Arabidopsis thaliana: one gene and its partners. The protein of the gene in region 2 interacts with the protein of the main gene of each other region in a pairwise test. Each region holds a gene or a part of one and is shown on either strand. Other genes may lie near its edges. The genes, in order: DDL, GRP2B and MYB118.

The links.
Region 1: the proteins of GRP2B (region 2) and DDL interact in a two-hybrid assay, tested with the Arabidopsis thaliana proteins (one large-scale study listed by BioGRID).
Region 3: the proteins of GRP2B (region 2) and MYB118 interact in a two-hybrid assay, tested with the Arabidopsis thaliana proteins (one large-scale study listed by BioGRID).

Annotation. Positions count from the first base shown.
Region 1 is NC_003074.8:7,173,872-7,180,044, reverse strand, and holds DDL (SMAD/FHA domain-containing protein), read left to right. Parts: upstream 1-2,024; 5' UTR 2,025-2,173; intron 2,174-2,410; 5' UTR 2,411-2,444; coding exon 2,445-2,819; intron 2,820-3,279; coding exon 3,280-3,311; intron 3,312-3,390; coding exon 3,391-3,457; intron 3,458-3,568; coding exon 3,569-3,626; intron 3,627-3,978; coding exon 3,979-4,071; intron 4,072-4,593; coding exon 4,594-4,708; intron 4,709-4,822; coding exon 4,823-4,870; intron 4,871-4,961; coding exon 4,962-5,007; intron 5,008-5,095; coding exon 5,096-5,166; intron 5,167-5,310; coding exon 5,311-5,350; 3' UTR 5,351-5,609; downstream 5,610-6,173. Other genes in the region: AT3G20555 (uncharacterized protein), read left to right, coding at 1,431-1,571, 1,654-1,845. UniProt on the Arabidopsis thaliana protein: Involved in the microRNA (miRNA) and short interfering RNA (siRNA) biogenesis. May facilitate DCL1 to access or recognize primary miRNAs. Binds RNA non-specifically.
Region 2 is NC_003071.7:9,036,201-9,039,692, forward strand, and holds GRP2B (glycine-rich protein 2B), read right to left. Parts: upstream 1,583-3,492; 5' UTR 1,389-1,582; coding exon 783-1,388; 3' UTR 566-782; downstream 1-565. Other genes in the region: LAX2 (uncharacterized protein), read left to right, coding at 1-239. UniProt on the Arabidopsis thaliana protein: Chaperone that binds to and unwinds RNA and both single-stranded DNA and double-stranded DNA (ssDNA and dsDNA DNA).
Region 3 is NC_003074.8:10,288,010-10,292,857, forward strand, and holds MYB118 (myb domain protein 118), read right to left. Parts: upstream 2,926-4,848; 5' UTR 2,704-2,925; coding exon 2,560-2,703; intron 2,452-2,559; coding exon 2,003-2,451; intron 1,897-2,002; coding exon 1,770-1,896; intron 1,352-1,769; coding exon 758-1,351; 3' UTR 594-757; downstream 1-593. UniProt on the Arabidopsis thaliana protein: Transcription activator that recognizes the motif 5'-TAACGG-3' in the promoter of endosperm-induced genes.

The DNA of each region.
Region 1 (6,173 bases), on a different chromosome or scaffold from region 2:
TATTTGCCTAATTCTCTCAAATGTGACCTCTATATAGTGGGGGAGGCAGAGGTCAGGAATGTTGTAGGTTTGGCACGATTTTGGCCCTTTGTTCTTATTATTGTTTAAGTATTTACTTGTTATAATATTATTTTGTTGGTTTTAATATTCTAAATGGCAGTTGAACAGTTTGATTTCTTTATGTACGTGCAAGAACAAATAAAGATATACAAGAGAAGTGGATCACCTTCTTGTTGTAGTGGAGATTATAAATGTACACATCAACTTGAGATTTGCTAAATTGTAATCTTTTTAGTTAGCACACAATATATAACATAACAACATAAAGTACTTTTGATGGGTGAACCTAAATGTATTTTGGTAGTTTTCCAATAAAAGTGTTAATTTAGATAAAAACATTTGCCTAATGATACATTTGCCTGATGATAATCACAAATTCACAGAAACAGTAGATAAGGATCAAATTTTATATTGTCCATTAATGAAAATAATTTCGATAGAAGCTGAAACAAGATATATTAATTTCATTTTAGCTTATATTCTCCGTTATCTAGCGTTTGATGTAACATTTATAAGTATATATCTGTATTAAGTACAAGAATTTGTTGAGGAAGGAAAAAGTGTTCTTACAAACAAAAATATAAATTTGTCAATGATGGAGACATGTAATTCGTGGGGAACTGCTACTAAGTGTTTAACGATAATATATATGGTTTATAACGTGACAAGGTGATGATAGTCAATTCATCTATTTGAAAATCCTTCAACAAAAAAACAGAAAACGTGATGAAGGCAACATTAGGCTAACACCACAAATAGCTAATTGATATATAAATATAGTCGGTCCACGTTCTCGAACCTTTATAGTCCGGCAGGATAATTATTTTACTATTGTCTAGCTTACAAAACATGTACGACATATTGCACTTTTAGATTGTGAGATACGAATTGTGTGAATTTGTAAAGTTAGTACCGAATCTTTGATGGTTGTTATAATAATTTGCCTCTTTTTCATCAGCAATCTATGACGTAAGAGGCTACGTATGTTCGCTTAAAATTTGACCTAATTTGGACTTTGTCATAGTGAAACCGTATGACAATAACGAAGAAGGTGACGGTGACCGATTCTGATATATGTGACAGTCTAGCCAGTATTTTGCAAAACATAAGATACTAATGAAGTGCATGATGCATGACCGATATTTGAATTAGATATACAAGCCGGCTGGTAGATCATTAGACAACATTTGTTTGTGTGTCTATGATGCGAAAAAAATAAATATTCTCAATCTTTGACAAAAAATATAATAATGACAAAGTACATATCGTTTTGTTCATACGTAAACAAGAATTAGTTTTTAATCGTCTATAATATTGGCGTACACTAGTATATACATGAAACTAAAGATACATCAAATAAACAAGGAGACATGATTTGGGATTCGATGAGCCATCACCCGACAAACCAAAGCATCACCCGAGAAACTCATACTGACCCGTCTCTAAAGCTCGAGTCTATGAATGCTGTCTTCCACATAAGCTTCAAGGCCAACAGTTGCGACTACAAATCGGTAGTAAGGAGAACTACAGATGGGATTTCAGGACATATGTTCCTCGAAGTTGAAAATTTCTCTCCACAAGTTCCTTCATGAGAGGATCAAAGTTGGTGGTAAACCTGGTGCACTCTGTTACAATCAGAACAAGATCACTGTCACTTCTGATGGTTTATGTCGTTTAGCTATCCACCTCAACTATATCTATGATCTTGTATTTGTCTTCTATCCTATCAAAGTTGGTGGTAAAGCTGGTGCACTCGATTTGTTACAGGCTCACCGATTTGTTTGATGATCAATTATAAAATCTTTGTTGCAAACTAGGACGAAGAAACAAAAATCTCGAAGGAAGTACAAGGGTACGACGTTACAAGCGGCTTCTGCCCTAATTATACATATCCTTTCTACCAAACAAGATATGACACGTGTCAACTAATGGAAGTTTTACCATACCGTCTACAATTTGTTTGATATTGAACCCCTCAGTTTCCATTTATTTGCAAAAGAGGCCAAATAAATGATTCTTCTCGTTTTGGCTCTGATTCTTTTTATCTCTGCGATTATTATTATTCACTCTCTCCTCTTCTCTCCGCCGAAGTAGTCACAGTTCCGGCCACCAGGTAAAATTTTTCTTTCTCGTTATGCAGCGATTTTTTCTCTTAACGATTCTTGCAACCCTAGACTATGCCCGGAACTTCTGAATTTAGTATTTGAAATCTGTAGCTTACGTTTTTTGGTTTAGGGCTTTTGCTCCATTTCTAGTTTCTATGCATTTGGGAATTAGGGTTTACTGTGTTATCTGGAGCTCACATGCCTTTTCCTTCTGACCCTGGTTTCAATTTGTGATCTTTCCAAAGGCAAAGAAGAGAGAAAACGACCCTGACTCCAATAATGGCTCCTAGTTCTAGGTCTCCTTCACCACGTACGAAGAGACTGAGAAGAGCTCGAGGAGAGAAGGAAATTGGGAGAAGTAGAGAGAGAGAAGATGATGGTAGAGAAAGGGAGAAGAGAAACAGTAGGGAAAGGGATAGAGATATAGGAAGAGATAGGGATAGGGAGAGAAAAGGAGAAGGAGAAAGAGATAGGGAAGTTGGGGATAAGAGAAGACGATCAGGGAGAGAGGATACTGAAAAAAGGAGAAGGACAAGAACAGATGATGAGAGATACTCTAGAGGAAGACATGAGAGGTCTACTTCACCGTCAGATAGGAGTCACAGGAGTAGTAGGCGTTCACCTGAAAGAGCTATTGCCTCAAGGCATGATGAGGTATTTCTGCTTCTTTCTTTAGCTTGGATATGTTCTTAATCTCAGAAGTGTTTTTTTTTTTGTTTTGGGTTTTACTTGTGCATATTCGTATTCTGCTTGAAAAGATAAATGTGATTGAAATTGTTTAGCTCTGATGTATGCTAGAAAAGGTTAGCCTCTGCTGCTTGTTTCGTCACATAATAAATAATTGGAATCCTGTAATCTAGCTTATCCATCTCGTGAGTCTATAACTAGAACCTGCAGCCAGCCATTTTTTGCTTACTCTGTTGCTAAAGGACTTAAGAAAGATAGTCTCTTTGTTTCCCTTCAGCATGTCCAGTAACATCACTTCTCATGTTTCTCTCTTTTTAGTAAAAGCTCATTATATAGATTATGGTTGCTTTCTGCAAATTATCATTTTCTGCGAGCCACAGATTTTTGTTACTTCTTCAGTCATTTTTATCGCCTTTTGTCTTTTCAGGGGTCTAATGCAAGAGGGGGCAGCGAGGAGCCGTGAGTTTTCTTCTTATTAGATTAGCCGTTACAATTTTTCAGTCTTTCTTTTAACCATGTTATGGGTTTTCGTTAACAGAAATGTCGAGGAAGATTCAGTCGCGAGAATGAGAGCAGTTGAAGAGGCTCTGGCAGCGAAGAAAAAGGTATTATATCAAGCCCTATTGATTTTCAATTTCCAATGTCATTTTGAGCTCGCTTAGCTCATCCATGCATAAATGCTAACGCTTCAAATCTAATTTTGATATATCTTGTAGGAAGAACCATCATTTGAGCTATCAGGGAAACTTGCTGAAGAAACTAACAGATACAGAGGTGAAACTTCTGATCCGTCCATTTCATTTAAGAATATCACCTGTTACCATTACCTTGTGCTAGAAACTTTTGCCATAGTGTTTTCATTGCATGTTTGAACTGCGAAACATCTGCCTTTGTTGTCAGGTCATATTTACTTAATTTTGTATGCGTACGTGTCTGTCACTGGGTAAAAGCTTTCTTTGGTCAATATCTAATGAGACTAGAAGCTTCAATATATAAGCATCTGCTATCAGCAGATATCTTTTGACTGCCAATCCGCTTTTGCTCCTAGGAATGGAGACGGTGGTTTCTCGCATTAAATTTCACCATAGGCATGCTTAGCTTCCTTGACTGAGTGAATCCTTTGCAGGTATCACACTCCTCTTCAATGAGCCCCCAGAGGCTAGAAAACCCAGCGAACGATGGAGACTGTATGTTTTTAAGGATGGTGAACCACTGAATGGTGAGTCTTTGACGTCTTCCACATCTCTATCCATCTGTCTAAGTAGTGGTTCATTTGTCTTCTATGTATTTCACTTAACTATCTTACTGTGGTGAACGTCAATTTTTTGTCCACAAAATATGCAGTAAAGCATGTAGTGGCAATGAAAGAGATACTCAAGAAATTTTGATGCACTCTAGCCATGTAAACTTGAAAACTGTGGTCATTGATGGTTTAGTGTCCAGATAACAGCGTGATTACCGATAGTAGCCAAACTATAGCTTGATACTTCTTAGAACTTGTCAATTTTCTTAGAATGAATCTTATTATGAATGTTAATGACTCTTAGAGGAAAAATAGCTCCTTTGATCTGATATGTTTGTGACTGTGGCTTCCCGTGTCATTCTTACTTTGAACCCCTGAACATTGTATATAAGATTTTACATTTTGTTTCCCATTTCTGTTTGCTTAATAATTCTGAATGCCCTGAATCAGTTTTCTTGATGTATGTTTCTGTGCATGTGAAATGTGTTGGACTAACAGAGCCACTCTGCCTTCACCGCCAAAGCTGCTACCTCTTTGGACGTGAAAGAAGGATTGCCGACATTCCTACGGATCACCCATCTTGCAGCAAGCAGCATGCTGTCATTCAGTACCGGTAGGGTTCTGACATGTATTTCTCCTTTTAAGTAGTAATATCTATGACAATAGATTTAATGAGAATAAGGTTTTTAGTTTAATATTTATGTCACTGTGAATGTGCTTTTCTCAGGGAAATGGAAAAGGAGAAACCAGATGGTATGATGGGGAAGCAAGTGAAGTAAAACCTATCTGCTCTTTCATTTTGCTTAAAATTTGTACCTCTTCTGGCTTTAAGCTAAATTTTAATTTCCCTTAATGTCACTTTCCAGGCCTTACATAATGGATCTTGGTAGTACCAACAAAACTTATATCAATGTAAGTGCTCAATTACATTCCTTCTTATGTGCTTCTTTATCATGGTTAATTCAAACGTTTGTGATTAGAACTTCTTTTACTTTTTCAGGAAAGTCCCATTGAGCCACAAAGATATTATGAGCTTTTTGAGAAAGACACCATAAAGTTTGGCAACAGCAGGTATTCTAATGAAGACACATTCTAGTTCTGGTTTCCCATTATGAATCATACCCCGTGCCTATTCTCTGTGATTAATCTTTGCTTGCTGTGCAGTTAACATCTACTTTCTTCTGTTCTTGACATGTTTTGTTCTTTTGGTTGCAGCCGAGAGTACGTACTGTTGCACGAGAATTCTGCCGAGTGAATGAAATCAGAGTCAAGCAGAAACGAGTAAATCACAAGATTAGATAGTTGCGTTTCTCAGGGTTTTTAGAGATGTTTGAGCTGCTTCATGTATGCTTTCTACCGTGCTGGTGATAATCTCAGACATCATTTAGAAATCTTTTGCTTGCTTGTTATATAATAAATGATGATGAACGATTGGTAAGAGAAAAAGGTTAACTTTTGGTATAACTGTATAAGATCAATCTCTACTTTAAAATTGTCGCTCCCTGAGGGTTTCGACCTAACTTAACGTAGAAACATGGAGACGACTGAGATTTCAACTAGAGTTACCAAAACGGACATCACTTTCTTAGTAAGATAAAGCTAACTCTGCGATTGAAAACTACTTATTTGTCAAGCCTTTAGTGAGGGATTCAAGGATCAAGTCACGGATCTCCTCCCTGCTTGCTCAGTCAAGAGTGGTTCTGCCGTCAGCATCCTTAACCGTGTAGTCAGCGTTTGAGAAGCTCTTCAATTTTAGGCTTGTCTCCCTCCGAGACTGCTAGCATTAAAAGGATGTCGACATGGTGCATCTTATCTTAGGTACCTTCCACCGCAAGTATCCCCATGTAGTTAAAATACTGCAAATAACACAGAAACGACAATAATAAATCTAACATTTCCTCTGTTTTCTTCATTCACAAACTCAGACACAACCACGTACGGAAGCTTTTATAAGCGCCCTTGTAACAAAACAAAGATTGACATATTTGACTCTAGAAGCTTGAAGTGAACACGAACCTGTTCGACGTCGTCTCTGTCAAAATCATCACGTGACTGGCTGCCATAGATTCCAGCATTCT
Region 2 (3,492 bases):
TGGAGCAGCCACCAAGGTTTCTAGGACGATGGACTGGGGCATTCACGATCAATGCCTTCATAGTTGTGTGGGTGTTCATTGTTGGATTCGGGTTCGGTGGTTGGGCTAGTATGATCAATTTTGTACACCAGATTGACACCTTTGGCCTCTTCACCAAATGCTACCAATGCCCACCACCGGTTATGGTCTCACCTCCTCCAATCAGCCATCCTCACTTCAATCACACTCACGGCCTTTGAATTTTAAGCATCAAATCTTTAGTACCGGCCCAAAAGTGTCCCTAGCTGCCACGAAAGTTGGCGTTTTTCCACGGATCAGAAAAAGACGAGATTTGGGTTTTTCTTAGATCTACCAAGCCCGTAGTGTGTTTGGGTGTTTGTTTAGCATCTAAAGTTGGTTGGTCTGTTTTTATTGTATTTCATGTTTGGGAATTAAAGAAAAAAAAAAAAAACTTTAGGAGTTAATGCCATATCTTTCATCAAGAACAATCATTTCCAAATTTCAAGGATTAGTTCGGAAGTTATGGTTAAAAGATTGTATGAAGGCTTGAAGTAGAGGAAGAAGATGAGCAAAAGTTATGATAAACATGCAATTAAAACCAATCCAGTTTCTTTCTCAAATCACAAGGAACCATAACCATAACAACCACAAGTCCTAATTAATAAATTCCGAAAACAACATTGAAGAGAGTCGAATAACAAAAGATAGATAATAATTTGATAGAAGTCACGGAGAAGAGGGATCGATGACTGATTTACCCCTTCTTCACAGTCTGGTTTGCTTCAACGAGCACCACCGCTAGTGCAATCCCTTGCAAAGTGCCCAGACTCTCCACAGCTGTAGCAGCTTAAGCCACCACCACCTCCTCCTCCGCCGCCGCCAGACCCGTACCTTCCACCACCCCCGCCTCCGCTGTATCCTCCACCACCTTGAGAGCATTCTCTCGCCATGTGACCTGGTTCACCGCACTTAAAGCAAGAATTATCACCACCACCTCCTCCACGGCCACCGCTTCCTCTTCCACCATAACCTCCTCCGTAGCTTCCTCCACCACGTCCCCCTCCTCTTCCACCACCGCCGCCAAAACCACCGCGTCCACCAGATGAACCACCACCACCGCTGTTACCCTGAACGGGAGCACCGTCGGGTCCAGACACTTCAATAGCCTTGGGACGGCCGGAGTTGTCAACCTCAACGTCGAACTCAACAGATTCCTCAGCTGCGAGGCTACGAAATCCTTCAGATCTGATGGAAGACTGGTGAACGAAGAGATCGTCACCACCGTCGCTAGGTGTGATGAAACCAAACCCCTTCTGTGTATCAAACCACTTCACCGTTCCCTTGCGTCTGTCTCCACCACTCATGTTCACGTCTCCTCCTCCGCTCATTCTGATCAAAATCTCTCCGACGAACTAAAAGTAAATCACCGATCAGATCTCTCTCTCTCTCCTTTGGCGTGAAGCAGACGCTGTTTATATATCTGCGAGATATGTGTGTAAAGGCATAGGGTATCCCGCCACGTCACTATTTACTTTTTATTCCAATATTCTCTACTCTTTTTTCTTTCATATTCCCATTTTTAATACGTATTTTCCATCTTATAAATTGGCTATTTCTATTTTTCTGCATAATTCCTTGACTTTTTCCAGTACAATTAGAAATTTTACTTAATGAAATACGAATTTGTTTGAATAGTAAAACTAAAAAGGAAATAATATAATTACAAAAATGGGCCAGGCTAATGTTCGAGATTGTATTATTTTTTCCTTTTCGGGAAACTAAAGGGAGCGATGGGCCCGCTTTGATCTGGACGGTTGGGGATGCTTTGCAGGAGGCTTCTCAGCCGTTAGATTCAAATCTAAGAGTTGAAAGTTATTCAAAGCTTATCTTCTTCTTCTCCCGAAAAGATCTAACAGAGTGAAGGGTACAATGGGAAAAAGACAAGTTTATATATTTAATAATTTAATATTATTCTGGTTCAGTCAACATTAAAGTTGACGGACGTAAGCAGATATTTTGACTAGTCGTCCCATATTTTTGGGAACGCAAACTGCGTGCCGTTTCTTTTTTTATTTTTATTTTATTACGCTCTCGTACAAATAAATAGTGGATTTTCACAGAGTAGCCCCAAAGTTTTTTTGTATGTATTTATTTTGGTCAAAATCTCAAAAGAGTGGTCAAAAGCGTAACGTCCATAGTCCAAATGACATGACGATGGGACCTGTCAATGCACATTTACACTTTCCAAACAAAAAAAATACTACATGTATCCAATTTTGAAATCTTTAGTTTTACCCAAAATAATTCAATGAAAAGATGAGTTTGGTTACTAATAGTAGTTTGGCCACTAAGTTTATCTGTATCAATTATGATTCTATCTACCTATATTTAAAGAAGTGATTGAGCTTTAAATGTGCCTCTTTTAAATTTATGAAGGTATGAATGATTTGAATCCCAAGAGTTTGTAAAGATGTTTTGACTCTGAATAATGACAAAACCGCAAAGTGTGATACAGTTTCGATAGTAACGAAAATTTTGTATATATTTATTTAATTTATTATTATTTGAACCTCAACGCAACTTATCGAACAACACATTTTTATTCGGAGTTTTAGTTATGGGATCTTCGAGTTTTTATCTAACATGAAGGTCATGGAATCAACGTTTGTTTCATGTAAGTGTGTGATAATGTTTAACTTTTTACTTGCGAATGGAAAACCATATTGATATTATGACATTGTATATTAAAGATGTCTAACTCTTTTAGAATCATCTAAATGACTCACATGTAAAAATTTAATTGGTAGGTTCTAAAGGCATCTCCATCAGTGAGATACCTTATTGGTTTTTAAAAAAAAATATATTAGTATTTTAATAAATATTAGTTCTATAATTAAATTTTAATAATAAAATAATATTTGACCAATAGATGATATACAAGTGTTCTTATGGGTTTTTCAGAGTTTTTCACTTGAGAGACTAATTTTACTCTCTCTCTTACTTTTTGATTATATTTTATTTTTATATTAAACAGTTTTTCAATAAAAAATCATTGATGGAGATGGTTTAATACCTTAATTATCATCTCGGAATAATAGTAGATCGCAAACCAAAAACTAAAAAAGAAAATATAGTAGAAAAATATCTAATTTTTAACATTTGCTTTCACACTAATGATACTAGCTAACTCGGCTACTAATTTTTATTTTGAAAAACAACCATTGAAATATATAGACTGCAAGCGTGGGTTTTTCCCATTTTTCTAATTTCCAACTAAGAAATATGGACAAACTAAAACAAAAAAATTAACAGATTTTACAGTCATTGTCGAAGAAAAAGATGGTATCTCTACACATATACTTTACACTTTTACAGTCGTTGCTAAATCTTTTATGTTGGTAAATTAGCTATATAACTTCAATAATTAGAACCTTTTTTTTTGTCATGAGAGTTCTCTTCGAATATTGATTAGTTTTAGAAAATAATCAATAA
Region 3 (4,848 bases), on a different chromosome or scaffold from region 2:
TAAGTTTTTTTTCTTTTTTTGTTGGAGGAATTGCACAAAAAGAATAAGAAGTAATGGTTTATTGTATTTGGTTAAGATCTCAATTTTCTATGTAGTTAGTCAAAATATCATTAATGAATATAGATCCCAAAAGTTTTATGTATTTTTCTTTTAGTTATGTATGACTTTTCGAATGGTGATATACAAAACAAATGGAAAACCAAAATATAATGTATACAAAACTCTCATTACGTTTTTTTTTGTTTGTGTTTTGCCTAAAATTTCTGGTATTACAATACGACGGACCATATAGTCATTATGACGGTAAGGTAACAAATTCCAGAAAATTACAATACAACGGACCATACACATATTATCCCATATTACATCATACTAACCAGATATTTTGTAAACAACTAGTACTTTTTTTCTTTAGCATAGTCGATATAAAATTATTCTTTAGTGACTAAATGTACTTGTTGTGGACCTAATGGTCGTCTTCTCCTAACCGCAAACGCAATTACCATTCATATAGTATAACAGAAAATTTAACAATATATATAGATTCTTAATTAAAATGAAATTAGAGAATAACAAAAAAAAAATCTGATAAAGCAAGAAAACCTTCAATTTTTGTTTAGTCCAAAAGAAACCTTCAATTAAACCACAATATATATTACATGTCCAATTCTTCAATTAAAAGCACAAACATAATTTCATAAATAGCATAATTATATAGGTAGATATAATCAAGTTCGACTTGTTTATATTGCACGGTCTAAAGACGACCATGAGCAATCATCTCCAGCAAAGCAATCTCGTTCATCATAACTTCATCACATCCATGCATCACCATCCAGCTATCAGTCATCGGCTCATCAATCTCCATGGTCACACCACTTCCAGAACCAGACGCAGAACCAGAAGTAGACGCTGATCCGGAGGCCGACATAGCCGCCAATGACGGCATCTTGATCCTTCCATCTTCTAAACCCAAGTTATTCACACCATCCACAATATACTTACATTCACCCTCATCATACTCCGAGACCGCAACCATTACATTCTTACCTTTACCTCTCATGTTTCTTGGACCAATGTTTGCGTTTGCATTTGCGGTCATGAAAGGATCATCATTGTAGGTAACAGACCTAATGTAGTTCTGAAGAGTGTTGCTACCAAGTGAAAGGGAAATTTCATCTTTTCCTTTAGTCCTCCTCGAGTGTTGTCGACGTTTAGTCGCGTTCCAATGGTTCTTGATCGTATTTTCAGTGCGTCCCGGGAGTTTTCGAGCTATCTCAGCCCATCTGTTCCCAATCTCCTTATGGGCTTTTATCAGTATTATATCCTCTTCTTCAGTCCATCCATCTTTCTGTAACATACCACATAAAATATGCTTTATATGTAAATAATACATACAATATTAAACAAATATTTTTATTTTTTATATGTTTTTTTCTCTTTTATGTTTGTTGAATTATATGAGAGAATCCAAGTGACAATGACTTTAGTTTAAATGTCTTACCAATTGTGAAGTTTTGTCCGCAACAAGAAGACAAAATGCCTTAAAGAATTGTCATAGACATATATGTATATACAAACAAAAGTTTAAAGTATTCATGCATGAAATAAAACCGTATACATGTTGACAAGTGTGAAAAAAGTTTGTTAATATTCTCTTAGAAGATTCTCAATGTATCATGTAATGAATTTGAAAGTATCGAAGATGATATTTTGTTTTTGTTTCTCCTATGAAAATAAGAAAATGAAAATAAAATAAAATAAGAGACCTTGATATCGGGACGGAGATGGTTATGCCACCTTTCTCTGCACTGTTTTCCAACTCGTCCTTGAAGCATCTTAGCAATCTGAGACCATTTTTTAGTTCCGTGAAGGTCCACTAGCTGCACCAATAACCTAAATATAGGTAGAATCATTAGAAAATATTAATATTAAAAACAATATCATACTAGATTAAGAAAATTATTTATGAGAATTCCAAAAAATTAGATGTTGAATTTACTTGTCTTCTTCAGGAGTCCATTGTCCTTTGATGATGCTAGCTTTTTTTGTGGGTTTACATATCCTCCTCATCTGAAATCTCTTGTTCTTCTTCTTGATCTGCTCGGTCTTGATCATTACCTGGTTATTTTGACGTCGATTCATGATGGTGTCTTCGTTTGCGCTCAAGAGTGGTTTTGGCATATTGAATTGATTAGAGTCCGCCATGGCTTGATTGAGGGTTGACTCGGTTCCAAAGATGAATCCTTGGTTTTGATCGTTTTCCCACATAGTATTGTCATGTGAGACATGTGAAACGTTGGGTTCAATAGTTGGTGGGGTGGTATAGGCCATGCCAAAAAAAACATGGTCGTTGGATGTGCCATGAAAACATGCCTCGAAAGCTTCAGTGCATGGAGAAGGAGTGATGCCCCTAATGGTTTCTTTTGATGGTATTTCATATGTGTGAGGCTGCATATCAAAGTGATAGGGAACAATATTAAGATTTTGAGTAAAGTGATAGGATTGAGATCTTTAATGTGAGATTCTTGTGAAAAAAAGATCAGGATTAGAGTTTACCATCGATGGTTTGTGATGCACATTGTGTACACAAGAAAAATCATCGGTAAGAGATGGATGAAAATCTTTTAAAGTGGAGCTATCATCGTAGATAACGGCTGCGAGATACGGATAATGCATTTTGAACACTGACTCGAACTCCATATGATTATGATGGCAAAAAAAAAAAAATACAACGTTTAGAAGATGGAACTACCTAAACAAAAAAAAATTGAGTGAAGCATGAAACCCTAGATCTGAAAGAAGAATGAGTTGGTGATGAACACAGATACTTTTTTTTTTTTTTTGGTTTAAAGAACACAAGTCTTGAAAGAGAGCAATTTAACTTGACTGCAAAAAAGGATAACGAGGAAAGTAATTGATTAGTGAAATGAAATTCAAGCTTGAAGATGAATTTAAGGAAGAGGAAAAACAGGGAGAAGTAAAGGTAAGGGTAAAATATTAAGACTTTATAAACAAGAACAACTGTGAAGAGCGATGAGTTGGCAAAGATCTAACCTTTGATAACTTGGGTGAGTTAAAAAGTTACTTTAAAAACAAAATGATAGTCCAAGGGTAAATTGGTCACTAAAATTTGTCATGTAATAATCATGAAGTCGTTATAAGGTAGTTTGTATTGTTGCGGAAAATTCTCGGGCATATTTGTGACAAGTGTAAAACATGTAAGCATTATAATTTCTACTAGCCGTGTGATTATCTTTTTGGTGTTGCAATGTCAATCTAATGGTTCGTATCAGCATAGGGTCCACAAATTAGTTGGTCCCACAAGGTCCAACTCTAAAACATTGACCAAGAAATCTAAGATGATGAAAAGTATATATATAAATTAATGATACTACACATTTAGTTTAATTTATATCTTCACTTTTTAGCAATAGGTAGTTACTTTAAAAAAAATTAAAGTATTTAAAAATAAATATCATTTCTCTATAAATTTGGTTTGGTTTTTTGAAAATTTTAATTAATTAATGTATGTTGAGAAGAAAAAAATATCATATATTTCCAACTTTAACAATTTAAAATGATATTCAACATATCGTCTATTAGAAATAAAAATTCCATAGATGAATTTTATGTTCCACAAAACCCTTTATCTAAATAATATATGTGATTTGTGTAGTAGAAAAAAAAAATTGAGTTACAAAATATCTTCACAAGTTTGAGGGTATCTTTAGGGTATGCCGCTATGGTTTTGATTTTTATTCCCTTCCACTTGAAAATATATTTTTTTGTTGATTAATAAATTTGACATTTCCAAAAATAAAAGAATATTTAATGTGATGATATTGAATGTTAAAAGAGTAATGACTCAATTATCTTGAAGTATTTGGAAAAACGGTTGAAAGATATTGCAAAACAATAATTCTTTCAGGTGGAAAATATTTTTTAATAAAAATTTAAGAATATCTAAAGAATTCCATAGGTTTCCAAAAATAAAAGTCAATTTTTTCAATACAAGAAACTCAAGACATGTAGATAAATTTGAAATTACTCTACTTTAAAAATTCAAGCATGGAAGTACACCTTAGAAACCAAATAACAGTATTAGATAGAAAAATCAATTTTGTAAGCCTTATAGGTAATAGTAAATACCATAACAATAACGATGATATGATTTGAACCCGTGCAGTTTTATACCAAAAACAAACTCGCTACCAAATTACATTGGTTCAACTCTTTTAATAACAGTTTTTAACTAGTTGGAATTTGTAACCTCGTTACCAAAATTCATCATGTCAGTGGCCATCAGAGATCTTTTCCACCGTATTTTTTTTTCAAAGGAGAGAACTTTTTCACGTTTATCCCCTTCTTTATTGTTAATTAGGCTTTTGTATTGTTGCATCGGTGTTGCACAGTCCGCCCGTATGTGAAGGATGTTCTACAAGGGCGAGGCCTCTGGTGTAGAAAAGGAGAATACTTTTTCAAATGGTCAGAATAAGAAAATACCACATGGGTAATATAAGAGTCATCTTAGGTCAAGAGGTGATTATAGGCTCAATTCTCCTTTAGTGAGCATATAATGGTTTTAAGGTGTTGAAACAGTCTTTCTTAAAAAACAATAAGAGAGAGCAAATCTTAGATGTAATGTCTTTTTGAATGGTGTTTGTGTTTTGTGTATTAAAATTTAGAAAGATTTACCGAGGTCTAGTGATCAAATGTGTGTTGAGTGGTTTGGTGGAGTCACTTTAGCTGTTAAATGTAAGGTGACCAACTACGACATGTTTTAGTTTAGCAAATGGGATATGATGTTGCTAGCTATAGTGCAACAAAATAGCTTTTCGATGTATC